7 linked regions of the Oryctolagus cuniculus genome follow. The protein of the gene in region 3 purifies or fractionates together with the protein of the main gene of each other region. This does not show direct contact. Links are inferred from orthologs where the notes say so. Each region holds a gene or a part of one and is shown on either strand. Other genes may lie near its edges.

The links.
Region 1: the proteins of ABI1 (region 3) and CYFIP2 purify together in Homo sapiens (co-immunoprecipitation; 4 studies listed by BioGRID and IntAct, with this or other methods). This does not show direct contact. The link is inferred for Oryctolagus cuniculus from reciprocal best matches to the Homo sapiens genes ABI1 and CYFIP2.
Region 2: the proteins of ABI1 (region 3) and EPS8L1 purify together in Homo sapiens (co-immunoprecipitation; 4 studies listed by BioGRID and IntAct, with this or other methods). This does not show direct contact. The link is inferred for Oryctolagus cuniculus from reciprocal best matches to the Homo sapiens genes ABI1 and EPS8L1.
Region 4: the proteins of ABI1 (region 3) and NHSL3 purify together in Homo sapiens (affinity purification with mass spectrometry; 3 studies listed by BioGRID and IntAct, with this or other methods). This does not show direct contact. The link is inferred for Oryctolagus cuniculus from reciprocal best matches to the Homo sapiens genes ABI1 and NHSL3.
Region 5: the proteins of ABI1 (region 3) and NCK2 purify together in Homo sapiens (affinity purification with mass spectrometry; 3 studies listed by BioGRID and IntAct, counting the BioPlex papers as one, with this or other methods). This does not show direct contact. The link is inferred for Oryctolagus cuniculus from reciprocal best matches to the Homo sapiens genes ABI1 and NCK2.
Region 6: the proteins of ABI1 (region 3) and WASF1 purify together in Homo sapiens (affinity purification with mass spectrometry; 6 studies listed by BioGRID and IntAct, with this or other methods). This does not show direct contact. The link is inferred for Oryctolagus cuniculus from reciprocal best matches to the Homo sapiens genes ABI1 and WASF1.
Region 7: the proteins of ABI1 (region 3) and EPS8 purify together in Homo sapiens (affinity purification with western blotting; 4 studies listed by BioGRID, with this or other methods). This does not show direct contact. The link is inferred for Oryctolagus cuniculus from reciprocal best matches to the Homo sapiens genes ABI1 and EPS8.

What each region holds. Positions count from the first base shown.
Region 1 is NC_091437.1:44,287,691-44,291,404, reverse strand, and holds part of CYFIP2 (cytoplasmic FMR1-interacting protein 2), read right to left. Parts: intron 2,770-3,714; coding exon 2,650-2,769; intron 1,832-2,649; coding exon 1,706-1,831; intron 1-1,705. UniProt on the Homo sapiens protein: Involved in T-cell adhesion and p53/TP53-dependent induction of apoptosis. Does not bind RNA. As component of the WAVE1 complex, required for BDNF-NTRK2 endocytic trafficking and signaling from early endosomes.
Region 2 is NC_091449.1:3,734,096-3,737,437, forward strand, and holds the end of EPS8L1 (epidermal growth factor receptor kinase substrate 8-like protein 1), read right to left. Parts: intron 2,796-3,342; coding exon 2,681-2,795; intron 2,594-2,680; coding exon 2,462-2,593; intron 2,366-2,461; coding exon 2,272-2,365; intron 2,194-2,271; coding exon 2,019-2,193; intron 1,828-2,018; coding exon 1,695-1,827; intron 1,615-1,694; coding exon of another isoform or gene 1,610-1,614; coding exon 1,499-1,609; 3' UTR 668-1,498; downstream 1-667. UniProt on the Homo sapiens protein: Stimulates guanine exchange activity of SOS1. May play a role in membrane ruffling and remodeling of the actin cytoskeleton.
Region 3 is NC_091444.1:103,386,973-103,390,686, reverse strand, and holds the end of ABI1 (abl interactor 1), read right to left. Parts: intron 2,399-3,714; coding exon 2,223-2,398; 3' UTR 264-2,222; downstream 1-263. Other genes in the region: all trans-polyprenyl-diphosphate synthase PDSS1, read left to right, coding at 16-156. UniProt on the Homo sapiens protein: May act in negative regulation of cell growth and transformation by interacting with nonreceptor tyrosine kinases ABL1 and/or ABL2. May play a role in regulation of EGF-induced Erk pathway activation. Involved in cytoskeletal reorganization and EGFR signaling.
Region 4 is NC_091438.1:139,780,400-139,784,113, forward strand, and holds part of NHSL3 (NHS-like protein 3), read right to left. Parts: intron 3,169-3,714; exon of another isoform or gene 3,079-3,168; coding exon of another isoform or gene 3,021-3,078; intron 1,493-3,020; coding exon 1,322-1,492; intron 1,240-1,321; coding exon 1,184-1,239; intron 956-1,183; coding exon 832-955; intron 226-831; coding exon 109-225; intron 16-108; coding exon 1-15. UniProt on the Homo sapiens protein: Able to directly activate the TNF-NFkappaB signaling pathway.
Region 5 is NC_091433.1:102,853,583-102,857,801, forward strand, and holds the start of NCK2 (cytoplasmic protein NCK2), read right to left. Parts: upstream 2,834-4,219; 5' UTR 2,543-2,833; intron 2,185-2,542; exon of another isoform or gene 1,913-2,184; intron 1-1,912. UniProt on the Homo sapiens protein: Adapter protein which associates with tyrosine-phosphorylated growth factor receptors or their cellular substrates. Maintains low levels of EIF2S1 phosphorylation by promoting its dephosphorylation by PP1.
Region 6 is NC_091436.1:61,320,826-61,325,047, forward strand, and holds the start of WASF1 (actin-binding protein WASF1), read left to right. Parts: upstream 1-1,416; 5' UTR 1,417-1,554; exon of another isoform or gene 1,555-1,581; intron 1,582-1,937; exon of another isoform or gene 1,938-2,051; intron 2,052-2,274; exon of another isoform or gene 2,275-2,409; intron 2,410-4,222. Other genes in the region: CDC40 (pre-mRNA-processing factor 17), read right to left, coding at 384-634, 841-904.
Region 7 is NC_091440.1:113,481,370-113,485,083, forward strand, and holds part of EPS8 (epidermal growth factor receptor kinase substrate 8), read right to left. Parts: intron 3,316-3,714; coding exon 3,154-3,315; intron 3,026-3,153; coding exon 2,876-3,025; intron 189-2,875; coding exon 106-188; intron 1-105. UniProt on the Homo sapiens protein: Signaling adapter that controls various cellular protrusions by regulating actin cytoskeleton dynamics and architecture. Depending on its association with other signal transducers, can regulate different processes.

The sequences.
Region 1 (3,714 bases), on a different chromosome or scaffold from region 3:
CTACAGAGACAGAAAGCAGATTAGTGACAGCCAGAGGCTGGGGCAGGGAGGCATGGGATCTGACTGCTAATGAGTAGGGGTTTCTTTTGGAGGTGACAGAAGTTTTCTAACATTAGACACTGATAATGGTTATACAGTTTCATGAATAAAATAAAACACTATCAAGTCGAACACTTTCAGAGGGTGAATTTAGGGGCTGGCGCTACAGTGCCAGCATCCCATACGAGTGCCGGCTCGAGCCCTGGCTGCTCCACATCTGATTCAGCTCCCCGCTAATGCGCCGGGAAAGCAGCTGTGGATGGCCCAAATGCTTGGCCTCCTGGAACCGTGTGGGAGACCCAGAGGATCTCTCCCAGGGGTGACAACTGGGACACTTTCTTCCAAGGTGACTGTTAGCAACGGAAGCCCCGCAGGAACACGGGGCCACTGTGAACACCGTCAAGGGTGATCACAATCTCTCTCCCGCCTGGAGAGAAACTGAGCCTCAGTTCCCCAAAGTTCTCCAACCTGGAAGCCTGCTCAAGAACAGCTTTAAACGCTGACACTTGGACAGCCCATGTTTATTACTTTACTGGACAGTTACTGTTCGACTCGCAGCAATGACAACTACCCCTGGGATGGGCAACGGTTGAGATTATTAGCCCCATTTTACAGAACAGGAAGCAAAGTCTCAAAGAGGTAAAGTGCCTACAGTGGTCAGGGCTAGGACCCAGTCTCTACTCGTCTCTCGTGGGCTTCAAATGCTCATGAAAGGGGTTTCTGCCACTCAGAGCCTCATAGAAATGAATGTTCCTACACTACTGTGTAATCAAACAACAAAACACAACTCAAAACATTATAAGGTAGTAACAGTCCTCCCTCTGGAAAATGCTGCTGCTCATGGTTTGCTATATATATGTAGGTCCCTCAATTTTGAGCAAATACATAAAAGTATATCAATTTTAGTATAAATGGGATCATTTGTCCTCATGTACCTGCATCTGCAAAACTTAGCAATTTACTGTGGGTAGCTTCTCATCCTTCTCAGCGGCTACACGGTATTCAACCATACAGCTCTATTTTATGTACCTGATCCCATGTTGAAAGACATCTAAGTAGCTTTACATATTTTGGAATGAGAAACAATACTGTGGTGAACACGTGTGCACACATATCCCTTCAGAGTTGGCTTACTTCCCTGGGATATATTCCTAGAACTTCTGGGCCAAAGGGTTCTCCTACTATAAAAACATCAATACATATCAGATTGCCCTTGGGGGAAGCCCATAGTGTAGCCTGGCCACAAAAATATCAGATTGTCTATTTCCCATACTGCAATCTGCAATAGCCATCAACACTTTGACATCTTTGCTACCTTGACTGGCAAACACTGTCTCCAATCTTACTTTCACTCTGTAGTTCTTTGATCACCCATTAGTCTGGGCACTTTCCATGTCTTTTTTTAACCAGTTTTTTGTTTGTTTCTTCTGTTGGCTTTTTTGTTTTGCCCACTGTTCTAGTGGAATGGAGATTTTCCTTTGGATTCTTTGGAGCAGGGTTCCTAGTCATTTCTAAGTAGTAACTCTTGAAAGAGATTGGGTCTACGTGGGAGAAGGGGCCAGTAGTTCAGGAGACTCCATTCTGTCACCTTGCTCAGAACCACTCCTGGGGCCACAGTGAGCAGTGGTCTTGGGTGAAGGAGGAGATACAAGGAAGGAGCACCTACCTCCACGAAGGCGAACTTCTCCTCGCTGGTGTAATTGTAACGTGTGGCTCTCTCATACTCCTCTGCCGTGCCAGGACAGTCCTTGTTGCAGAACTTGTCTGTGGGATGCACCAGCTTCCAGGAGTACTGGGGGGAATGGCAACAACCCAAATGACCATCGACTGATGAGTGGCTCAACGAGAGGGGATAGACCCACACAATGGACTGTTACCTAGCCATGAGGGGGAACAAAGCACCAAGTCATGCTACAACATGGGTGAAGCCGGGTATGGGGAGGATGTTTGGCCAAGTGATTAAGACACTGGCTAAGAGGCTTAGTCCCACAGAGAAGTGCCTAGGTGCGATACTTGGCTCTCACCCTGACTCAGGCTCTCGCTAATTCAGACTCTCGGAGGCAGCAGGGGACATCTCAGGTAGCTGGGTCCTGGCCCCTGACATGGAACCCCTGGACTGAGTTCAGCTCCTGACTTCACCTTCCCCTGTCATTGTAGGCACCTGGGAAGTAAGCCAGTAAGTAGAAGGTCCTTCTCTGTCTCTCACATACAAAAGTTAAAAGAAGCTAGCTCCTGAGTCAGAAAATGTGGGGTAAAAAAGAAATCAAATACAAAGGACCACAGATTCTATGACTCCATCTGTAAGAAACACCCAGAAGAGGGATGGCCAGAGAGCTGGGAAGCAGACTGCTCAGGGCTGCAGGGATGGGTGGTCACGATACACAGGGTTTACTGCTGAAGGGACGACAATGTCCTGAATTTCACTGTGGTTATGCGATGCCGTGGATGGTCTGAAGACCAATAAACCTACACATTAGGTGGCTGAGTCGGATGGTGTGTTAACTGTATCTACATGAAGTCGCTAAGAATGCGTGCAGGGGATGGGCAGAGCCCCACAGACGCAAAGGCAGCATGGGTTGGCGTGAGGTCCTCTGCGGGCAGGACACCTACCACCTCCATGACGTGGGCGCTCCACTTGGACAGAAGCTGCAGGCCACGCAGGGCCAGGTCAAAGAGCTCCCGGTACTCCTCGTCTGACTTCTGGCTGTCCAGCCCGGAGCCCGTCACCACCTGGGGAACAGTAACTGTCACATGTCTGGCACTGGTACACATTTCACCAACTGCCCTGGGAACACTATAGGGTTATTACTATGTACCCATGAAAATTAACGGGGCTCAGATAAGCACCGCGCTCAGGCCACATGGTTGGTAAACCATGCAGGGTTCCAATTTGGGGCCGTGATCCAGAGCTCCACTCAAAAGCACCCCGGCAGAGCAGTGGCTTCCAAACGTTTCTGACTGCATTCACAGTAGAAATGCATGGAAATGCATGCTGTTCAATGAGTCAGGACACAGAATTGCGTACATACGCTGCACGTACGCAATGAGATTTGTCATGAAGCTACGTCAATACATGGGGTTCCCTCTGAAGATGCTCATCACAAACCCTTGACTTGATTTCACAGTCTCTCTGTGTAGTGCTCCAGAAGGGAATGTAACACGTATGTACTCAGGTCTACACGCACAAAGCACAACTACTTGCTAAAATCCATTTCTGAATCCCCAAGTCAATACTCGCAGGCGTGTCTCAGTGACTTGCAGCTCACGTGTGTCTCAGCTACAGTCAAACAAGATGACCTTTATGTCTTTTTCAGCCTCATACCCTAAACAAGGGGTCTCCCTCTGGTGGGCTAGTTAGGGCCACACACATTTTTGTGCTTTGTTACTAGTGATTTCACAACCTAAAATAGTCCCCAAGTATGGCTGATGGGCTGTACCATATTTCTACACGCAAAAAGCTACATGTATAAAGCAGTCAATTAAAACAACTTTGACCACACTTTTACATGCAAAAGCTATAGGTATAAAGCATTTAATTAAAAAAAAAAAAAAACTTTGACCAGATTTCCTCCGAGACCATACCAAAACGCTGCTAGGATCGAAGGCACCCTAGCACTGAAGAGAAGGGATTCCTGTTGATTTGCACAAATGCTTAAGAGAGATGGAGGTCTGAGC
Region 2 (3,342 bases), on a different chromosome or scaffold from region 3:
GGAAGGGCGGGGCTCAGTCCTCAGGACCAGAGGGGCTGCCCCGGGGCCCCCACCTCACGTGTGCCGGCACCGGCGCCCCTCCCCCAGCAGGGATCCAGAATGTGCCAAGAGCCCTGGCCGCGGCCGGGGCTGTATATGGGGTCCATGTGCAATAGGGAGGGCCGTCTTCTATTTTTGCTGCCCCCTCCCCGCTCTCGCCTGGGGCAGGGGGAGAAGGTATTTTCGAGACAAAGCACAGGCACCACAAATAAAAGTCGTGAAGTTGCCACTCAGACTGCACAGGTGCGGGGGCGGGGCCAAGGCCACAGGCCACGCCCACAGGGTCCCAGGCCGGGGAGGGGAGGGCCTACGGGGCCAGTTTCAGGCTGGGGAGACTTGGGGTGACACGTGGCAGGCCGCTCCAGCCCCACTGGTGGCAGTGAGGGGGCTGGGCAGGAGCTGTGTCTCGATGGCATTTGTTCATTCATTCACTGATTCATCATGGCTGGGCCTGGCCTCCTGGACAGGTTCTGGCTGCCTGCTGGTCTCCCAGGAGAGGACCATGGGGGAGGCGCAGTCCAGCTGTAGCGCTGGGGGGGAGGGGGAGGGGGGAGGGGAGGCTCTGGAGGGGAGCGCCCTGGGCAGGTGAGGCGGGTGCTGGCGGCGGCGGATGTGAAACGAGACCACGGACGGTTTCAGCGCTGTATTGAGCGGATGGGGCAGGGGGTGGGGGACGGGGCACCGCCGTGGAGGTGGTGAGAGGGGTCGGGTCTGGAACTGCAGCCGTGGCCAGCCGCCAGGGTGCAGGCCGAGACCACGGGCATTCCCGTGTGCAGCCCGGGTAGTGGAGGTTTCTGGTTCCTGTGTTGAGAACGAGGGGTGGGAGAGCAGCCGGCCCTTCCCTGGAGTCCCCAGGCGGGGGCTTGCCTGTTTACCCCGAGGGCCCTGGGGACCAGGAAGTCTTTGGAGGCATAAGGCCTGGTTCCTGAGGGTGGGCAGGGGCACCCCTGGGGGCGGAGCTGTGCCTGCCCGGACTCAGCCTGAGGGGTGGGGCTGCGAGGGCAGGTGCCCCAGCTGGCACCCTCGCAGCCCCAGGGGATACGTGGGGGGCTTGCGGGAGGGAGGAGGGGCTTCGTGGATTTCTAGCCGGGGCGGCTCACAAAGGGAGCAGCAGGTGCCGGCAGAGCAGCCTGGGGCTGGGCGGGAGAGGTGGGTGGGGGGCTTCACGGGGAAGGGAAGGGAAGCCCCGGGCTGGAGGACACTGCTGGCCGGCTCAGGGGGCCCCGCAGCGTGGAGGAGGCGGCAGGGGAGACCACAGCGGCCCCCTCCGAGAGGGCGGGCAGGGGGCAAAGACGTCGCGCCGCCGCCGAGGAGCTGTCCATAGCGCGCCCTGTCACTCCCACCCGCGCGAGGGCGCGGCGGCCAGGACTGTCCGTCCGGTCTGCCCCCAGGGTGGGGAGGCCCGGGCCTCCGACCTTCGACAGGGATCCTGCAGTCCGCGCTCCCCGGGCTTGCGTGGTCACCTCTCGCAGCGCGGGCTGAGAAAGCTCAAATGACCTCCGAGTCCACCTCGCCATCCACCTTCTTTTTTTGCTTCTGCATCACTGCTTCCAGCTCCGACGGCTTCGCCCTGTCCTGAAGGGGGGACGGCGGTCAGCCCGCCGGGTCCGGCCCCGTGCGGTCGGGCGGGGGGGCGAGGAGCAGCCCGGGCTCACCTCGAGCAGCGCGCGCTGCACCGTGACCTGGCTGTACACGCGCACCCCCTCCTCGGGGCTCGCGGCCCGCAGCTCCTCCTTCTGCAGCGAGAAAAGCTGCGCGCCGGTCAGCGTCCCCAGCGCTTCCACGGTCCTGGGCGAGGGCGGCAGGGAGGGGGTGCTCAGGCCTGTCCGCGGGTCCGCGCTCCAGAGCGCCCGCCCTCCAGGGAGTAGGGCCGCATCCCGCTGTGGGGGCGGGGCTTTCCGGGGCCCCAGCCAGTGGCTGGGACAGCATGCCAATCAGTTTTGGGCAAATCCCAGCCCTGCGGTGACTGTCCCACTCACCCCGCGCTGAAGCCCTTGGCCTGCAACCAGGCGCGGACCTCGGCGGCGTCCGACCGCGGGCTGAGCTGCTGCTCGGCGGCGCGGGGCCCCGGGGCGGTGCGGCTGGGGCCCGGGCGGCCCTGGGCCAGGCGCGCCTGCAGCTCCTCGTGGACGCTGAGCATCTGGGAGAACCTCTCTGCGGGCGGGAGGCGCGCGCGCTCAGGCCCGGCGGGTGCTCAGGCCAGGGGGCTCCCCGGGGGAGGTGTCCACTCACCCTTCTCGCTGGCGTCCAAGTTGTCCAGGCTGTCGCAGCTGTTCCAGCGCGGGCGGGCAGGAGCCGGGGCCCGCGGGGCGGGGGGCGCGCTGTCCTGTGGGGGCCAATCTTGAGTCCTGGCCCTCACACCTCCCACCCACCCATACCCCAGACCTCCGAGCTGCAGACCCCCAGGCCCTGCCTGGCTCACCAGGGGCGGGGCCGGGGGCTGGCCGCTGTCCCCGCCCGGCCCGGGGTGGGGGGTCAGGATGTTATAAGGCACGTATCCCTCCTGCCCCCGGGGGTCCCGGACCTTCCACCACTTGCGCCGGTCATCCAGGACCTGGATGTGGAGTGGAGCGGGCTGAGAGGCGGGGTCTGCGGTGGGGGCTGGCCGGCTGCGGCCCCTCCCCCTCCCCGCCCGGCTGACCTGGAGCACGTCCCCCTGCTGGATGGACAGCTCGCTGCCATTGCGGGCCTGGAAGTCGTAGGCACACAGGACCCACCGCCCCGCGGGCTCGGCTTCCTGCTCGGGATCCTGGTGGCTGGGGTGGGGGGAGGGGAAGTGGCAGGTGAGGGGTGGGGCGGCCCGGCTGCTGTCCCTGCAGCTGGGGCGGCTTCTGTGAGCTGGGGTTACGGCGGAGCGGGCGGAGCGGGGGCCGGGTTAATAGTGTTAACAGGGTCTGAGATCTGAGCAGCACCACCGCGCCTGCGAGGAGAAGACATGGCCACTTCCCCTTGGAGAGAGGAGGAAGGCCCCTGCCCCAGAGTGGAGAGGGAGAGAGAGGGAGAGAGGCCGTGTGCAGGGCTGGGCCGGGAGGCGGGTGTGCCTGTGCCCTGACTGCTCCCCGTGAGGGCTGCTGCAGAGCCCTGAGCTCCGAGGCTCCCCACCCCGCCCCCCAAAGACCCCCGCCCGTCTCCATTCCTGCAGCCTGGGGAGCCGAGGGAGGGGGACAGGGACAGGCTTGGCCACACCGGGCCCCAGGCAGCCTGAGCAGGGAGCTGCTCCCACCGCAGGCCACTGGGCCGAGCAGAAGCCGGGAGCCTGGCGCCCAGTGTCGGGGAGCGCAGAGGAGCAGGCTGGGCCTTCCA
Region 3 (3,714 bases):
GTTCCACTTCTGTAGAGTGATGGTGTGCAACAGACAACCTACCTCGCCCAGCGGTACTGCCATGAAGCCATCAGAGAGATCAGCAAACTGCGACCATCCCCAGAAAGAGATGCCCTCATTCAGCTCTCGGAAATTGTACTCACGAGAGATAAATAACAACAACTTCTGTTCTTTCTGGCAGCTACTTTACCAGACTGTGCCTAAAGTTGTTTGCTTCATGTGCAGATAACCAAAAATCATTTTAAAAAACAATTTCAACCTTATTAATGGGCAGGTTTTTTTTTTATTGGCAAAGTTTTTCAGAAAACTTTTTCAATGTACTTAAATCATCTGAATCTGTCATTGCAGTCTTATAAATTCTAATTGAGGTATCTTGATGGTTCTATGTGGTATTGTTTACACTGTTAATATCCACATGTAAAGCCATTACACAAATAAATAATCAATGTTAAAATTCAAATGGTTTCTATTATTTCACCATAGGAGTAAAGATCAGAAAATTGTGAAGTGTGCACTTACATCCACATTATTTGTATTTTAACAGTATCGAAAAACTCATAGGAGAATGGTTTATTATAAAAGACTGTACATAAAATTTAGACAACAGGTTATATACAAATTAAGAGAACATTCCACTTAAAAAAGGAATAGAAGGTAGCTAGCTGATCACTAATGACACTTGGTTTGAAATTAACAAAGGCAAAATGTATATGAAACAGTCACATTGATTTGGTAGCAATAATGGTCTTTAATTGTCAGAAATAAATGTTTTGCACTAGTCTTACCATTCACTATGCTGTTAGAAGTCTGTAACGCCCAATACATAACTGTAATTTGAAACTCAAACAAATCCTCAATACACAGAAACCCACACTTGAGTGCTCTACTTTAATATCCTAAGCAATACAGAATTATACACAAGATAAGAGAAGACATCCCTCTAACCCTCCCTTAAATTAAGAGGAGACACACAAAGTGCATGTGTTGCATTTCAATTATGTCAAAAGACAATACAAATCTGTTGGTTAAGTATATCTCTGTTCACTGAATAATACATGACTCACCTTCTTTCCAAATTATTGTATTTTAAAATCTTATGTTGCTAGTGCCAGGTAATGGATTAAATAGTGCCTATTCACAAATCAATCGCACTTACTTTTACAATATGTAAAAGATACTTATAATTTCCTTTCATCAAACCAGTGTACAATAGTCCACTGTAAAAGTAAAGGACAGGTATGGCAATCCTTAAAAATTTTACTTACAGAATAAATGTGTACACTTTGACACATTTTCGTAGCTTCAAAAGTTAGTTACTTTCAAAAAGGAATTCAGTAGATTGACTTGTAAATAACCATCTCAGATTTTTAAATCTGCAAAAAATCCATCACATTGCTGTTGGGACAGATTAAGGCTAAAATTTTTTTCCAAGTTAATATATTGAGAAAATAGAACCATAATTCTATAATAAATCAGTATCTCTCTCTCTCTCTCTCTTTTTTTTTTTTTTAAAGCAAACCAGTGAAGGAAAGGACAAAGACCTTTGGTTCACTTATATATTTATGAATGGAAAAAATTTATAATTCAAATTTCATTCATTAAAAAACTTAGGTACAAATTATAACATTACAGATTAGCCTTTTGTTTGTTTTGCATGGGGAACTTAGAGACTCAATTCATTTCAGGAGACCTAAGTGTGAATACTCCAGGGAAATAGCACACAAATTGGAAGCATCTTGGAATTTTTCAGTATATTTCAACACATAAATTTTTATGCATGCTTTAAACAGTATTTTTTTAAATGAGAGAATCTAAACAAAAAAGTATGACCAGCACCAGCATTTAAGTTTTCTGATTTTAATATTAGTTTGACATAGCATTAGTAACCATGCTCACTGAAACATGTAATGATACAATCTGAATCATATAATTCATTAAATATTATACCCCGCTTCCCCAGAATATTTAGGCTGGTCATAAAGTTAACATTGTGTAAGTAAGTACATAAGCATAATCAGGGACAGCCTCTTGTATAAATTGCTGTTTAGCAATATACAAACTGCCTCAATGATTTATGCTTATAGGTAGACATTCAATTATACCAATAAAACAGCATGTCCTGAAAATATGGGCACATTTTAAAACATATTAAGACAATTCTGTTAACCGTAATAGTCCCACAGTATGACTGAGTAATAAGATCCTACTTTAAAAGCAAAAATCTAATCAGTATAGTGCATGATTGATTCAACATAGTTCCCAGGGAAGAGACCAGTCACTCGATTGCAGACTCCTTCATACCAGCCATCATCATTCTTCTTTATAACATAAATGATTGCACCCTCCATGAAGGACAGCTCATCATCCTTGTCTTTTGTATAATCATATATTGCAACAACTACGGAGAAAAGAGACAGAGTAGCACATGAGTATACTATACTCAACATATAATTGAATTTTGAAATTTTATGCCAATTGTACTATAATATGCCAAAGCCAACTATTTTCATGAAAAGTCTTAATTCCTGTATCCTTCAATATAGGTCAATCAGTGGCCAACAATGTGACTAAATCACTGGCGTGATATTAGGGCCAAATTTCAGTTTAATTAGACGAAAGAAATCAAAAGGTTCTACCAATCTTTTTAAGAAAGATCTCAGGGTTCAGGGATTTATAAGATATTTTAATCCATTTGCTCCTATATCTACAAAGTGTCCATCATAGGGGAAGTACCATTTTCAAAGTAACTATTAGGCAAAGCTAACTTTTATTCAGTAAACCAGGTAACAACCAAAGCTGTCTAATTGGAAAGTATACAATTTGGCACATATTAGGCTAAAGTTAAATTAGCTTACAGGTAAGTAAAAATGGCTTTAAGAACAGTCATGTTGGGGTCAGCACTGTGGTGCAGCAGGTTAAAGCCTCAGGCTGCAGCACCAGAATCCCATATGGGTACCGGTTCGAGGATGGGTGATCCACTTCTGATCCAGCTCCCTGCTAATGCACCTGGGAAAACAACAGAGGATGCCCCAAGCCCTTGGACCCCTGCAAGCACATAGGAGACCCAGAAGAAGCTCCTGGTTCCTGGCTTCTGATTGGCCCAGCTCCGACCATTGCAGCCATTTGGGGAGTGAACCATTAGATGAAAGACCTCCCTCTCTGTCTCTACCTCTCTCTGTAACTCTTTCAAATAAATAAAATAAATATAAAACAAAAAAACCAGCCTTGTCATAAACTGTTATCATACACTCAACTGAAATGCAATTAATCCAGGATTCATTCACCTTGTGATTATAAAAGTGACAAAAAGATTTTAAATCTAACCCTACTAAATCTCCAGTTTTGATTTATACTACAGGTCAGCAAATGAACAACTCAATACACATATCCAAGCTGCTGCCTTCTTGTTTTTAACTAAAGCTTCCTTGCAGCATGGCCACATCTAACATACTGTCTGTGCCTGCTTTTGTGCTACAAGTGCAGGCACAGCAGTTGTGACAGACCATACAGCCAACAGAGTCTAAAATACTATCTGGTCTTATCCAAGAAACAGCAAGCTGACCTCTGGTTCAGGACTCAGCACCTCAACTTGTGAAAATATGCTTTTAATTCTGCTCTCCTGCCAAGTGTATTAAACATATCTTCCCAAATTTATGAAATCATTTTCCCACTTCATAGTTATTTTATTTCTTATTTATTTTTTATTTTTTTGAC
Region 4 (3,714 bases), on a different chromosome or scaffold from region 3:
GCTCATTTCGCAGGCCTGGGAGGAACGGGAGAGGTGGGGGGTCAGCAGAGAGGGGCTGGCCAGCGCTCCCCGAGGCCACCGCCGCCGCCCTCCCAGTCCAGGGCTCACCGAGTTCCTTCTGCACGTGTTGCGGTAGACCTAGCACCGTGCTCCGCCGTGGCCGCCGCCGCCGCCCTGACTTCCCGGATGACTTTGGAAATGAGTCATGAGGTCGGAAGGTGGAGCCTGGGGGCCAGTCCGGGGGAGATGAGCAGGGGTGGAGAAAAAAAAAAAAACCGTTAGAGCAGCAGGACTCAGCACACTCTGCAGAGCACCACTTTTGTGGAATAAGAAGAGTTCTGGGAAAAAAAACAATTTGCACAAATAGGTGTGTGGGCGAAGCCGGGTTAAACCAAATGGGAAGCTGCTTTTCTGTAAGACTTCTAGGATGCTGCTAAGTCAACAATGATAATTTCCACTCAGTAAACACAGGACTATGTGTCAGCCAGCAGGTGAAACACTTGGCATTCATTCCAACAAGGTAAGTACTCTTATTACTCTCCTTTTTATAGAACATTAAACAGAGGCTCAGAGAGGTTAAGGGTCTGCCCAAGGTCACACAGCTAGTACATGGCAATGCCAGGCCTCACACCCAGGCTTCCCCACTCTGAATGAACTGTCCTGCTGTACAGCCCACGTGCTGTGAATCTCCAGGAGGACACAGGAGACTGTGTTTCCTGAATTCACTGAGTCACAGAGCCTGGCGAGCCCCTGGGTTAGGAGGAAACGGGCAAGCTGACGGTGCCCACCGTCCCCTCCCCTGCCCACAAATCCCAGCTGCTGCGCAGACACCTTTGCGCTGGATCATCTCGGAGCGGATAGAAAGAGCGTCCTCTGCCGTGGAGCTCTCGGCCGTGTAGGACGTGGTCTGGCTGCAGAAGGAGATGCTGTCTTCATCCGGCCCCGCACGGGAGGACTATCGGGGGAAGAAGGCGATCAGGCCCTGGCCTGGGCGGGGCTGCCTCCAACTCTCCCCACTGGAACTCTGGCTCGTGGATCGGCCCCACCCCCAGTATAACCCAGCAGCAGCTGCAGCAACCTTGGCCTGGTCCCTCAGGACACAGGAAGGAAACAGTTCCAGAGAGGTGCGTGCACAGGTCGGGCAGGGAGGGAGGAGTCCAGCGGGACTGGGCGGGGGGCTCACCTGGATACTCTGGGTGTCTCCATGGTCCCAGCCACTTTTGTTCAGTTTCTGTTTTTCTGGAAGATACCAGAGGGTGTGTTGGGCTGGGCCTCCAACCTTGGGAGCTAAGAGAGTGCGCTGGCGGGAGGGGAGTGTTACCTTGGTGCTGCAGTGAGCGGAGCCCCTCCTGCGCTTGCGTGTGCAGCTCCTCCAGGTGGGGTGGCCGCCCACTGGGGAAGAAGACATTGTCCTGGTGTTCATCCACTGCAGACCCTGGCCCCTGGCCGGGCCCTACGCTTTGATGTTTGTCACTCTCAGCTTTGGCAGAGCCTAGTGGGATGGAGGAGGGAGGGAAGTTGAAGCTGGAAGACATCGGAGTCCCGGACATGCCACAAGGCACAGCCACAAGGGTACCCACAGTCCCCAGCCTGTGCACAGCCCCTGCGCACACGGTGATACCCACTTCCCCCTACCTGGACACACAACCCATCATTCTGGGATGTGCACCCAATATATACAGCTCCCATTGTGCACACACACAAACTGTGTCTGTAATTCAGAGCCGCACACAAGACTGCCTGGGGACATGTGCAGTCCACAGCACACACATTCCCCATCTGCAGCCCCCAAGTCCCCTTTACAGGAAAGCATACTTATAGTGAAACCTCTCAGCCTACATCCAGAAAGAAGGGAGACCAGGAAAGAGTGGGAGCTGGCAGGGGACCTACCCAGAGTCCCAGCAAAGCCTGGGGGAAGGCACCCATGGGGGTATATATAACCTTGTGGGTCCCCTACTCACCCATGTGGCTGGCCCTTAGAAGTAAGGGCAGAGAGAAGGAGGACTGGGACCCTCCACCCGCAGCCAAGGAAGCTCTGGGCTCTGCTCAGGGAACAGTCCCAGCTGCCCCCCCCACTCCCCTCCCTCCTGGAGGCCCTGGCCCTTGGTGCAGAGGAGCCAGGATCCATTACAAAGGCTCCAGTTACAAGCCCCGCCCACGGAGGGGTTGGTCATCTAATCCTGGATGTGGGGGGGCTGCGTCAGCACTTTGCAGCCTTGGCCCCCCTCTAAATGAAACCCACAACATAAGCAAAAGCGCTAGGAGGGTCATGTGACCTGGATGGCACTTTGTGCAGGAGCAGGAACAAAACAAACCCATCACAGGGCCGCGCCCCCGACACCTGCCTCTCCACCCGGGCATCCACGGGAGTCCCACCAGGGCAGAGCTGGGGTCCCCCAGGGGACCTGATGGGAACTGTTCATCCACTCCTCCTGATTTGACAAGTTGGGGAAAACAGGCTCAAGGGGGAAAGGCCCTGCCTAAGGTCACCCAGCAAACGGGAGTCAGAGCCAGGAGGACACTCTGGGCTGCCACAGGGCGCTCCAGGGTCACACACACCTGGAATCCCTGGCCGCCCCGTCTTAATCCTGGCATGGAAGCCCAGGTCTTTGGAGGAGGAGTGGGCACAGGTTCCCCCTACCCAGGCCTTTAAGTCCCCCAACTTCCTGTGGAACTACTTTCCCCACCTCTGCTCGCATCCCACAGCCCCTCTCACTGGGGAGGGGGCTGCCAGCTCTCTGAACCGGCCCCGGGCTGTGCTCAGCGAAGCGCTTCAAAGCTCAAGCCGGCTTCAAGGTCAGAGACACCTGGCTCCATCCTCCCAAGCACAAGCAGGGCCCAGACAAAGACAGCAGCAAAGCGGCCGGACAAAGCAGCACGGGAGATTCTGGCCTCGCTACCAGCCCCCAGCCCCCACCTCCATTACTCCTTCCCGGCCTTGACCCCTTTTTCTACAACAGGGTCCGGCAAAGGGACGTATAGAGGATCCCGGCTCTCACCCCGCTGCCACACCCACTCACCCTTCTTCTTAAAGAGCCCAGGAAGCGTGGGGAGGTGGCGGCCCAGGAACACCACCATGACTGCGGGCGCCGCTCGCGACCGTCCCCTCTCCCGGCCTCTCCCGAGCGCCGCGCGGCGCCTTCACCATGACCCAGCACGGAGGAAAACGCCCGAGCGCTCGCGTCCCCGCCCCGCAGCAGCAATGCCTCCAGCCGGAGGGGGAGGGGCCGCTCCAGGTCCTCCTCCCACCTTCGCCACTGATCCCGCCCACCGGCCGACCCCGCCCCTCAAGAAGGATGCAGGGTGCACGAGGGAAACTGAGGCATGGAGTCTGTGCGTTCCCCGCTCTGGTCACTCAGCTGCAGCGGGGTCCCCTAACCCTGCCACTGTGTCCTGGTCTAAATATTCCGGAGCCAGAGCTGGGGCAGGGGTCCCGGCTGCCAGATGGGAGGCGGACGGGCCGCCAGACTAGACTTGGCAAGGTGCCCGCCCCTAAGCCCTCCTGGCTGGTGAGGGTAATGCCCTGGGGACAGAGCTCAGCCAATGAGGCAGTCAGGCAGAAGCCCAGGACAGCCCTGTGGGGGTGGAGAGGCCCCTGGAGGGGCAGGGGGCTGGCCCAGGACCCAGGACCTACCCGGGAAGTCAGGGACAGGCCCAGGGCAGAATCACAGTGGCTGCTGCCAACAACCTCTCTAGCGTGTGTCCAGCCCCACA
Region 5 (4,219 bases), on a different chromosome or scaffold from region 3:
GCTGGAAAAGCACGATTACACCCAATGTAAATGGCAGAGGTTGAGAACATGACAAGGGTCCAACAGCCTGCAATGAAGGTTTAAGTCCCCAGCATGTTACTCAAAGCCTGAAAACTGACCAAGCTACTGGAAATGCACCTTCCACCCATGCCTCTATTTACAAAGGGTCAGTTTCTCTCAACTGGGCCAAGAAGATTACAATGCAGCCAATTTTGCCAAGTCAGTTTCACCCGCCTGTCAGGACCGCTGGCAGTGTTTACACAGCAGCTGAGACTCCCTGAACCCAGAGGAGCAAACCCAGCACTGCCTAAAGCTGCCATCTCACCCTCCGGTGGCCACCACAAGGCCACCAAGACCCTGCCACTCTCCTCGTGTCAAGGAGAGAGCTACTCAGGCAGGACCTGCCCCTGTGGTCACTTCTTCTCAAGCGGGGAGACCGCCCCTCCTCAGGAAAGCCCTCCTGCGAACATCCATGCACCTGCACCCCCCCTCCTGGACCTCGGCCCCGGTGCTCTCTGCCTGCCACTCTTCACATAAACCACACACACGCTGGGAGCCTTTATCTGGGCACAGGTGGTGAGTGCACTAAGGGCGTGTTCTGAGGCACAGCTCAGATCTGGTTTGATAAGTTAAGGCAGCCCGGGTTAATTTCATTTTCCGCCACTTTCAAGACTTGGGGGAAAAAAATAACTCTGTAGGTAACTTAATCAAAAACAGCAGCAGGAAACACAGCCCCCGATTGGTTCTCACGGCTACACAAAAACCCTTCCCGAACTGCCAGGACTGGGGCGGGCCAGGAAGGGACTCCCTACCTGTGGGTCCCCAGAAAGCCACGCCCACCAGCCCCTCCCCCTGGGTTCGGTCTCTCCCTGGGTCAGTGCAAGGAGCAGGCCTGGGTAATGGTGTAGGCCCTTCCGGACGCGACTGGGGCCCACTCACCCCATGATGCCCATGCAAACTTGGCACAAAGCCTCAAACCTGTTGGCCAAATAAGGGAGGCACTGCCACCCCCGCCCCTGCTTTGTCCTGAGGAGGCTGACTTAGCCAGGTGCCTGCTGGCCACCAGCCAGTGACCCCCCAGCCTCCGCCCACAGCCGGTCCCAGGCGATCGGCATTGTCCACAAAGTACAGCGTTATCCCACACAATGCGAAGCCCACACGGCGCCCACGCGGCAGCCGTCGTGGATGCTTTCAGAGTCACACAGGACGTTTTTCCAGGACCCCCTGGCGGTTCCATCGCCCGGAACGCAGAGCGACCGGGAGAAACTTTGGTACAAGTGGCTGGCTCCAAGGGTGCCCTGAAAATCCGCGGCAGGGCGCAGACCCTGAAACCCGCACAAAAGCGCCCAGCGCCGGGCCGTCGACCCTCCCTTACGCGACGTGACAGCAGCTTTGTGTGGGATCAGAAATAGTTGCAATCAACACACAGTTAAGTTCTCCGGGTGCATCGTGACCCCCCGCGTCCCTGCGACCCGGAGATTCCTCCCCCGGCGACCGCGGCCGCCGCTCGGTCCCACGCCGACCCCGGCCCCGGCCCCGTGCCTGCCGCCGTCCGTCCCGCAGGCCGGGCACTCCCTGCGCACCGGAGGTGTCCAGTCCCCGGGCCCCGCCGCCCGGCCCCTGCCCAGCTCCTCGCCCGCGCGCCCTTGGAGGGCGCCCCTGCCCCCAAGCCGGCCTCTGGGGGTAGGGTGGGGGGCCCGGAAGGCGGGCAGGAAGGTGCGGAGCCTGGAGGTGCCGAGCAGTCCACAGCCGGTGGGGAGGGCGCCCAGGCCGCAGCGGGGGCGAGGGCACCGGCGGAGCGCGGAGGGGCCCCACTCCCCCAGCCCCTCCCTGGGCGCGTCCCGGCCCGCGGGCCCCGCCGCGCTTCCAACTCCGCCGAATGGGCCCCCAAGTTTGCGGCGCACACACTTACCTCGCCACGGGCCGCCCACCGAGGCCGGAGGGCAGCGGCGCGGGTCCCGGGGCGGCGGCGGCCGCGCTGCGCCCGCCCAAGCGCCGCTCTTTGTCTGCGCCGCTCCCGCGTCTTGCCGCCGGGCGGACCCCGCCGGCCTGGGCGCCGCGAGCCTCCCCGCCGCTCGCCGCCCGTTCGGCCGCGCGGCTCCGGCCTGAAGCTCCCGGAGGCGGCGGCGGAGGCGGCGGCGGCGGCGACCCTCCCCCGGCGCGCAACGCCCGCCTCCTCCGCTCTCTTCCTCGTCCGCCCGCGCTCCTCCCCGGCCGCGCCGTGACGCCGCCCAGGGGCCGGCCCAGGCCCCGCGCGCGCACGGGGCGGGGGCCCGACACCCACCTGGGGGCGCCCCCGGGCTCCGCCGAGCTCCGCGGCCCGGCCCCGGAACGCGCCCGGCTTAGCCCGGGGCTGGAGAACGCTGCGCTGCGGGGCGCCGCGGGGCCCTGCGGGGCGCCGAGCGCTAGGCTAGGTCCCCGCGCCCGCACTTGCGGGGGCGGGGTGGGGACGACCGTAAAAATGCAGGCATTAACTTCCAGCCCCGGAGGCCGGCCGGGTGGGCTTCGCGTGCTCTTTTTGTTGTTTGTTTAATTCTCTTACCGCCACGCGCGAGTTGGAGAGGAGACCGCGCCCCCCCCTCCCGGAAGCATTCCCACGGCGCGCTCAGCGCAGCAGGCCTGTGGTCCATCAGAAAAGTGACTTCCAGCAAAATGTCACTTCCTCCCTGTGATTGCTTGCGGGCATTTTTATTTTTATTTGGCTTGCGTCTATTTACTTTCCCAACCAGACACGTTTTTAGTCCATTCGTCCCTGGCGGAGGCGCTTCCTAAGGGGAGGAGCGGAACTCCGACCTCTGATGCCTCCCAGGCACGCAAGCCCGCTCCAGCCGCCGGGAGTCGGGTTGCACAGCCCCGGGAGCAGAGCCCAATCAGGAGCCGCCTGCCCCTGGGCCCCTGCGGGTACCGTGAGGGGTGGGCCCGACCGGCTCACCCAGCCTCACCCCGCCTGGAGTTGTGTGGCCCAGTAAACAAACTTGGAAGCTGGAAACCCGAGAGCAGAGGCAGAGACCGGAGAGCTCCCCTTCCGGATGCGTCCAGATGTCTTTTCTCCAAACTCCTTCTCCCCGTGGTTTCCCAGAGGAAACCCTAATGTTCCAAGGATTCCAAAGCCCTGGTGGGATCGCCTGCATCCGTGTCAGTGAGATGCTTTCTTTGGCTCCTGGCTTCTGATCTTCAGGAAAACAGTAATGTTTCACCCAAGGAGGCAAGGCAACATTCTTTGATTGACTCCCTCCCCCAAAGCACCCAAGAATGGGTAAGTAGAGTCCCCGGAGCTCCGTCATCAGTGGCCTGCTGGACTGTGGACTTCTGACCTGTGTAACCTCACACAGGGATTTCTTGACTTTTCTCAAGTCTGTGAAATGGGGAGATAATATCTACCTACCTCCAACAGTACCAGGGACACGCCTTGGCGACAGGTCACCCTTGAATAGCTCAGTATGTGGAAGGAGGTACACTACCTTGAGCAGAGATCAAGTTCAAGATCTGGGACTCAGGACAGCCTCCTGTTTGACTCTGGGAAAGAAGCTACCAAAGCTCATCCTTTAGTGCAAGTCTCATCTTAGGAGTGAGGAAAGCAGAATTTTAGTCCATAGTCGGCCCAAATTTCAATGGGCTTACTCCAAATACGTAGAGCAATATTGACCCTTGTTTGCTTTGTAAAATCTCAGTCATGGTTCTCCTCTTCCTCCTCTGATTCTTTGAAAAACTCACTGATGCCACTCTCTAAACCTTAATCCTACAGGGTCTGCTGAAGCACGTGGCATTTCTACCTCCTGAAACTCCATCATCTTTCCATTGATCTTAGATGATTGATTTTGGTCCTATTGCCTTCTGGCCCGCCCATATTTTCTCCTTATAGGAGGTCTGTTGTCTTCCTTCCTCGATTCCCAAAGCAATCAAGGTTTTAGTCTGATGTGTCCTTTTTTTTTTTTAGTTAACCACCCGCCTGAACTTTAAGAAGAAATTATTTAGTTTTTGTTTGAAAGGCAGAGGGACAGAGAGATAGCCTCCATCTGCTGGTCCACTCCCCGGATGCTTGCAACAGCCAGGGCTGGGCTAGGAACTGGGATCCTATCCAGGCCTCCCACGTGGGTGGCAGCAACCCAAACACCAGAGCCATCATCTGTAGCTTCCCAGGGTCCACATTAGCACTAAGCTGGAATCAAATTAGAGGAACTGGGACTCAAACCAGGTGCTCCCACATAGGATGTGGACG
Region 6 (4,222 bases), on a different chromosome or scaffold from region 3:
CCTAACTTGCCCAAAGTTCACACCAGTGGCGGCGCACGGATTGGAACCTGGTTCTTACTTAAAAAACAAAACAAAGCCGGGCCACTGTTCACTTCGTACCCCAGCTTGTACAGTTCTGGTCTAGTTTCATTCCTGTTCTGAGATTACACCGGCTTCGTCCAAGCCTTGTCCCAATCCACCCCGCTTCCCACCTGCTTTCTGACAGCGGGGGGCGAGGGCAGGGGTTCTGGGGGCTCTAGAGGGCTGCTCCGCAGATGCAATCCAAGCGTTAGAGACTGGCCTCTCGGCGCCGAGAAAGAGGCAAAACGTGGCCGAACAGCGGCCGGCGGCGACTTTGGAGCTGGAGCCCATTCCCGCACCGCAGCGGTGGCCGCAGCACTTACCTTAACTGCCACCTCCGGAGCCGAGTCCACCGCCACTGCCAGCGAGGGCTTGGCCGAAGGCGATTTAGTCAGATGCATGAGAGACTCGGCGGCTGGCAGCGGACATCGGCCGCCTTCACTGTCCGAGTCGGATTCGGACCCCGAACCCGAACCGTAGGAAGCGGCCAGAGCTGCAATAGCAGCCGACATGACGGCAAACTGATCCTCTGCGGACACCAGGCCCGGGCGGAAGGAGAAGCGGCTTCCAGGTCCTGACAGACAGCCGTGAAACACATTATTTACTTCCTTGGCTAAGAAATCATTTGTAACATTTTGAAAAAAAAAACAGACCAATTATTATTTGAATAGTTTCTATAGGATTAAGAGGTTGGAAACATTTACCTAAGGAACCAGTTTTAACAGCTGGTCACTTTCAGGACCTGGAGGACTAGATTAAAAACTACGAGTTCAGAAATACCTGGAGGCCTTGCGGCCACACACTCCCGGCGTGCAGCGCGGCGGGAAGTGCGCGCAGGCACCATGGGAAATGTAGTTTAGGGCGAGAAGGCGGGGCTGGCGGGCAGGTCTCTCCTCGACCCCGCCCCTGGATGGATGGTTCATTCAATTGGCTATCATCTTCCCTCATTCCCTCGCCAAGCTGGGTTCTCTCCGTCCCCCTCCCCCAAACTGAGGTTTGGGTAATACCACAGAGCCTCCGGAAAGGGGGGAAACGTGGTCTTCACCCCCACGGATGGGCGAGTGGGCGGAGGCTCGGTTTCCCATCACCGCAGCGCCTGGGCACTGGGGGCTGAAGAGGAGAGTGAGAATCTTGAGTTTGAAGACCTGTCACTGACCAGGAATAGCTCCTGGGTGGAAGGCTGGGAAATTGGGAGCAGAGAGTCCCGCGGTCCCCCCTGCCTCTGGCGCGGGTCCCCGCGCCCGGTTGTGGAGCGTCGCGCGCGGGGAGGGGGCGGGTGAGGCAGCGGCGGCTCGCGGTGTTGTTCGCTCGCGCGTCGAGCGCAGTGTGGGTCCGGCGAGCGGCGGGCGCCCCGGGCGGCGTTCCCCGCGGCCCGGCGCCTCAGCCGCTGCCCCGAGCGGGTCCCACCCCCGGAGCCTGCCCTTCCTGGGGGCTCTCGGTGGAGTCCCGGGAGCTGAGCGGGACCGGCGGCCGCCGCCGAAGCATGCAGAAGGGGTAAGGCACGAGCCCCTAGGTTTCACGGTGAGCGCGGCTCTCTCAGGGATTGTTTCCTCGGGGGAGGGGGCCGGGGAGAGGAACTCGGTCTCAGCGGCCGGAGCTGGAGCCGGGAGGCGTGTGCGTGGCTCTCCTGCCCGCAGAGGCGGCGGGGGTGGGTGGGCTCGCCTCCCCCGCCCCCATTCGCGGGTCTCCCGAGCTCCCGCCTCCCCGCCGCCGGCCCGGCTGGTGCTGCGGGGAGGCGGCGGTGGGCGCGCCGGGGTCTGCGCTGCGGGGACCGCCCTGAGGCGGCTCGGGGCGGGGACTCTGCGGGTCTCACCTGAAGTGCCGCCGCCTGGGCTCCCCAGCCCGCCCGCACCCTCGGCCTCTCGCCCGGGAGCCGGCTGCAGCCTCGGGTGGCCGAGAAGCCCCGGGCGGCTCTGCGTGCCCGAGGCTCGGTGCAGCCCGCTGGCGCGTTTGCGTGTTTGCGCCGCACGTCGGTGTCTGAAGCTATAACGGTAAAGCGGGTGCGGGCGTGCGGGTTTTCCTTTGAAGAGGAGGCGAAGCGATGCGGTCGCCCCCGCTGCCTACTCGTGGGGGGTGGGGAGGGGGCGTTGGGCAGAGTTAGGGAGCCGCTTGCTGGGCTGTGATGTCGGCGGGACTCGCCCATTGTGCCACCCAGATAATTATTCAACTATGCAGCATCCATTGCACCTTTGGCGTTGTTCTCCCCTGGCTGCAGCGTGCCCCCTAGCTTCCGTACTCTGACACCTTCTGCACTCGCGGGGCCTGAGCTGGAATAGTGATGACAGCACATCCGACCCGAGCCTCGGCGACCTGTTCTGTAGACGGTTGATCAATTAAGCCCCAGCTAGAGTACGTACTTCAGCAGGGCTCACTGTGGTTCCTTTTTTGTAAAAGATACGCCTTGCATTCTGAATGCTCTGTGTTTTTTTTTTTTTTAATTTTATTTTTGGTGGTAGCTAAATCTTGTTCCTGTTCTGTAATAGATGTGATGGATGTATTGCTGATTCAACCCCTCTCCTGTTCTTTCCTGTGAGTCGTAGGGAACTTTGATTGGTCTAGTTGTTGATAGCGCTATGTCTACACATGTAGTCTCAATCTGAACTCTACGGGAGCAATTTATCCTTTTGCTCTTAAGCTTCTGTTGGGAAAAGTTTTTATTTGTATTGAATATTTTAATAAAGTATTTGAATAAAACATCTCAAGTTTTGAATGAGAAAACTTTGGTATTTAATTTCACCAGTAGAATATTTGAATATTTGATTGCTAACCATAGCCTACAGTGGAATGAATGATGGGGTTTTTAATCGTACCCTAACTTAGCTGAATTTTATTTTTTATTCAGTTGTTTTCTTTGTAATATCATGTATTTACTTGCAGATCTTTTTCTTATGTTTCTAACTTCTGTCTACAAGGATAGCTATGTTCCAGTTTTACATGCTGTACCTGAAGGATGACATTTTTTTGCAAATATTACAAGCAACTGTTGGGTACTTGATGCTTACAAATTATTGTTTAAAAATAAATAATTCACTACCCCAAATAAGTGTTTTCCTTTGATTTTTGTAATCTTCCCTTTCCATTTTTCCTTTTTTAGGCTTCTTGCATTAACTCTTTTGATGAAACAGAATTGCAGATAGGCATTGCAAAGGCAATTTGAAAAGTACAGGACTTGTTTTCTGGCACTTGGAAGTGGCACACGTATGTTCATGCTGTAGGATCAGTTGCTTCCTTGAGAAATGACCTTGCAATTTACAAAATGGATACCTTTGTGCCTTGGTTTCCTTATGTGTAATGGAGATAATACTCATTTACTCCACTAGGTTGTATGTGTGGATCAGTAAGTATGCTTCATAATGCTTTTAAAGGAATTTAAATACTTTAGCTGATAAATTGACACTTTCAGTGAAAACTACAATGAAAAAATGTAATATGGATTTTCGCTGCCATGTTAGAATGACTGATTCACGTTGATTTTAATTTGGAGCAATACTTAGAGTGATACTTCTAAATTGAAGAAAGCTTTTCATCTATCAGTTGTTTTTAATTGCAGACATTAGGTATTATAGTAAATAAGTATAGTTATAAATAATAGGCATAAATAATACTGATAAAAATTATGTGACTTGATAATGAACAAGTATAATATTGAATTAAGTTTGTGAAAAATTAAGCTATCTGGAAATATTAAGGCCTTTTTCATTAAAAAAATTTGTAGGTGACACATTCCAAAATCTACAGTTGTAATCATTTGGAAGGTATAAACTGGAGCTACTTTGTTTATTATTTGGGGTTATAAACATTGATATATATATATATCCAGAGGCAATTTGTTAATATTGCATAAGACTATATTTAATTTTATATTTTGCTTTATTTTAGAAATAATTTAAGGTATCTTTTCCATGTGCTCAATTTTTGTTATCACAGTACATCATTTTTTGATTTCCTTCTGAAAGATTAACTCAGTCAATTTCCATAGCAAAAACTATTAAAAGATCGTATTATTAGAACTTTTAACAAAACAGTAATTAACATTTATTTTGTGGGAAAACTTCATGTGAATGATAAAACTACTGAAGTGTCTTTAAAATTAAAACTATTTTATAGTTCCTTTGGGGAGAATTAATTTGATTACATTTATGTTTTCTTAAATGACAGATAA
Region 7 (3,714 bases), on a different chromosome or scaffold from region 3:
ATACAACAATATACCTCCATCGAAAATAACTTCTCCAAACCCTTAGGTGGCAAAAAAAAAGACAAGAAAATGAATTTTACCCTTTAATTTTTTTAATGTGCTTACCTCAGGGCATCGGGCCGCCTCTTCTGTTTCCCTCCCTTACTGTCACTGATTGCACTTTCAATATCTTCACTAATCAGGTTGGCCTGCAATGAGAGACAAGTTACCTGGAGGACTATAGATTTTTTTCCCAAGCTTCAATATGGCCATTAAAACAGGGAAAGGGTTTAGGTTATTTGTCTGAATCAGTAAAGTGTCTTCATGAAAAAAGAAAGCCTTCTTTGAAAATCAAAATTGCTTTCAAAATGTGACTTGCAGATTTTTTAATGGTGATGTTTACAAGGACAGAATTTAGAAGCTGAAAGAATTTTTAAAGATCCAGAGCCCCTTGGTTCTAAACCAGATGTCCTTCCACAAGGCAAACATACAAGCACTTAGCATAGGCTGAAAGTACAAGCAGGCGCTATAAATGAAGCTGGCTAATTCTTTCCACCTGAGAAGAAACACGTTCATGTGGGGTAAATTTCCTTTCCTTTCTCCTCCTCAGGGCCCACTGGATACCCATCAACCCACTGAAACAAACCGCTGGGTCCCAATAGAGACCCTCTTATTTTAATGGCAAATTTACTGTACCCGTGGGAAGGTTCCCAACAGTAGGTTGTTTCCTTGGGGATAATCTCCTTATTTTGTCTTTTCAGGTAAAAATTTACTTTCTGCAAACAACTCTTGCAAAACTTTGGAACCAATGTGGGATTAACAGCTACAAAGTTTATTCTGTTTCATTTTCAAGTTTATTTATAGCCAGTGTTTAAAACTGGATATTAGATCATTGCTGAGATGTAGTCATCTGCTATGTCTGAATGCTCTCTGGAATTATGTATGTTTTCCTCAACCATGCATCCTATATATTCACTTACAGTGAGCACTGATAATCATAAAATTTGAGAACTGAATGGACACCTAACATTGATCTAATCCATTCTCCTCTTCTAATTTATGAAACTGAGGAATACGCATAAAGTAGACCTGGCCAAGGTCTAGCGCTAACTGGCAGTGTCAAGGTGCCCCAGTTCAGTGTTGCTGCCACAGGAACATCCTATTTTCAATGACATTGCCCACATCATCAAAGGCATTCTGTTATCTGAGATATCAAAACTAAAGATGCTCAGGAGCCTTGAACTTCTCATGGGGGTACAGGAGGATATTTTATTTCTCAGGAAAAAAAAGGACTACAAAAGTAAGCAACAGCATTGTGGCAGTGTGTGAAGTACCATGAATATTAACACTCTAAAGCAAAATGGCAAGATGATCACATAAAGGAGATTGCATCATATTCGCTGCACTTAATTTTTAATCAAGCAGCCAAAGGAAAAAAGGTCTCATGTGGCCTATGGCACAAATGAGCAAATATAGTTCTTAGTGGTGTATGAGCTTCTAGTTAGAGCAAAACAGTATTCAGTAAATCCATTTGAATGTATCACTATCACCACTCCACGTCAAATAAGGCAAGCACCTTGTTCTCAAAACTGAAATCCAGAAACTTTACTCAGCATAGTAACTATTAGCTCCCAGGAGGACTCTTATATCATGGATCCAAACACCAGATTATGAATGTCTTTTAACTTAGTCCTTTGTTTTTAAAATGTTTGAATTAAATTCACTATATTCTCAGAGCAAAATATTCACTTTAATATTCAGCGATTCAACACATCAAAGCTTACAAAATTCTTAATATACTTTGACTTTCAAAAGTCACTACACTATACAAAAATCTGATGAATAACACATATACAAATTATCTAAATGTCACATTCTTTGCAAATAAGATCATTAGAAGTCATCTATGGAATAAATTTAAATTAGAAGGAAATTATAAAATATACTGTTTACAGTCAGCCCTAATTTACCTATCATAGTTTAATGTCAAATACAGAAAAGATCAAGTGTCTCTTTATGATAATCTCCCAAAATTTTTTGTAAGATAAATGTTGCCTGAATATTTATAGTATACAATCAAAACAATAAATCACTACTTTGGCAAAGTATCAATCAACAGAAAGTGATTTCAATTTTAAAGAAATCAACTCAGGAAATAGACATTCAAGGGTGAACATAACTTCTAAGGTCCAATAAAGCATCACAAATTATAATTATTCAAAAATTACAGTGTACTTTGCAACAAAAATTTTAAGGAGATAGCCTGTTATTACTGGTAACTGTGCTCAATTATTTTCACATATCATTTGAGGATTACAAATTCTTAGCAATTACTCAAGTAACATAATTAAATGATGAACCTTATACCAATGTCAAGGGAACTATCTTAGTGCCTCATTACAATAATCCACACTAGGTGATTAGTGCAGAACAAAATTGGACAGTAGTATGATAATTTATTGTCCATGTGTCATTTTTTAACATTTGATTTTCAACTGTAAGTCCAGGCATTTGGTAAGAATTTATAATATTATCTACATGTTTAAGAAATAAACGATACATCTGATTTTTTTTAGTATCACTCAAATTTCCCCTTTATTTTCTTGGCTTGGAAATCCAAGGGAAAATACTATGATATTTGTTTTCTTGACAAAATCCTCAAAAAGTAAAAAGTTGGTATTCCAATGACATATGATTAAAATATGAGGGCACTTTACAAAATTCATAGAAAATGGGATGAAAAGATGTTTATTTTGGTACAAAAAATATAAGATCTATGCAATGTTTTCATGAAACCCATTATCTGAATTTTTTGAATACTCCATCATAGGAAGCTACCAGAATATCTGCTTAAAAGGTCAAAAAAAAAAAAACAAACAAATTCACTGTCTTTTACCTTAATCTCATCACATTGGAAAAGATGAAGATCTGGCTTGTTCTGGGTTGGCTCTTTGCACACCAGGGCAAGAATTGAATCATAGCTGCATGAGTGCATCACCGCTTGGCAGTGCTGGATAGTATTTAAAGGAAAATTCTCCAGTTCGTTCTACAAGTAAAGTAAATATTTTATTTTGTAAGACTTTTGCCTATTGTCAAACAATCTGACCTTTCTGTAAATATGAGTACGTAGGGAGATTTTTAACAAATCAAACAGTACAGATTTTACGAACTTGCCTTTGACTCTAAATCAATGAGGCTCACAGCTCTGTCATCCACTTGAAGAATCATATCTTGAGTCCACACTTTGCCCTTGGCATCAAGCAATTTCAGCTTCCTTATTCCATCATCAACAGTTATCATAGCATCTTTGCGATCCAGAACAAAGGTAGTCAAGTGCTTACAATTGGCAAAAAGAAAAAAATATTTATAATGTACACAAATGTCTTAGTGCACGTTTTCCAAACAAAAGTAGAATTAACCTAATTGGGGTCAGAGAGCTGAAGGACAAATACAGTGTTCTCTAGAACTTCATGATTATTTTATCAAGAGAATGAGGTCAAGCAGGTTGAATAAAGAAAACGATGTCTTAACTCATAAGATATCCATGTCTATTTCATATTGAGCCAAGCTGAATTAAACATGACATAAAAACAAAGTCTTAACAGCTTCAATAGCATTCTCTAAAAATAACCTCCCCAACCCCACCTTACTCTTTTATGGTGATTTACATGCTGAACAACTTACACGTCAGTTCCAAAACTGAGGAAGCTGACACTACAGACTGGCCGCAGCAAT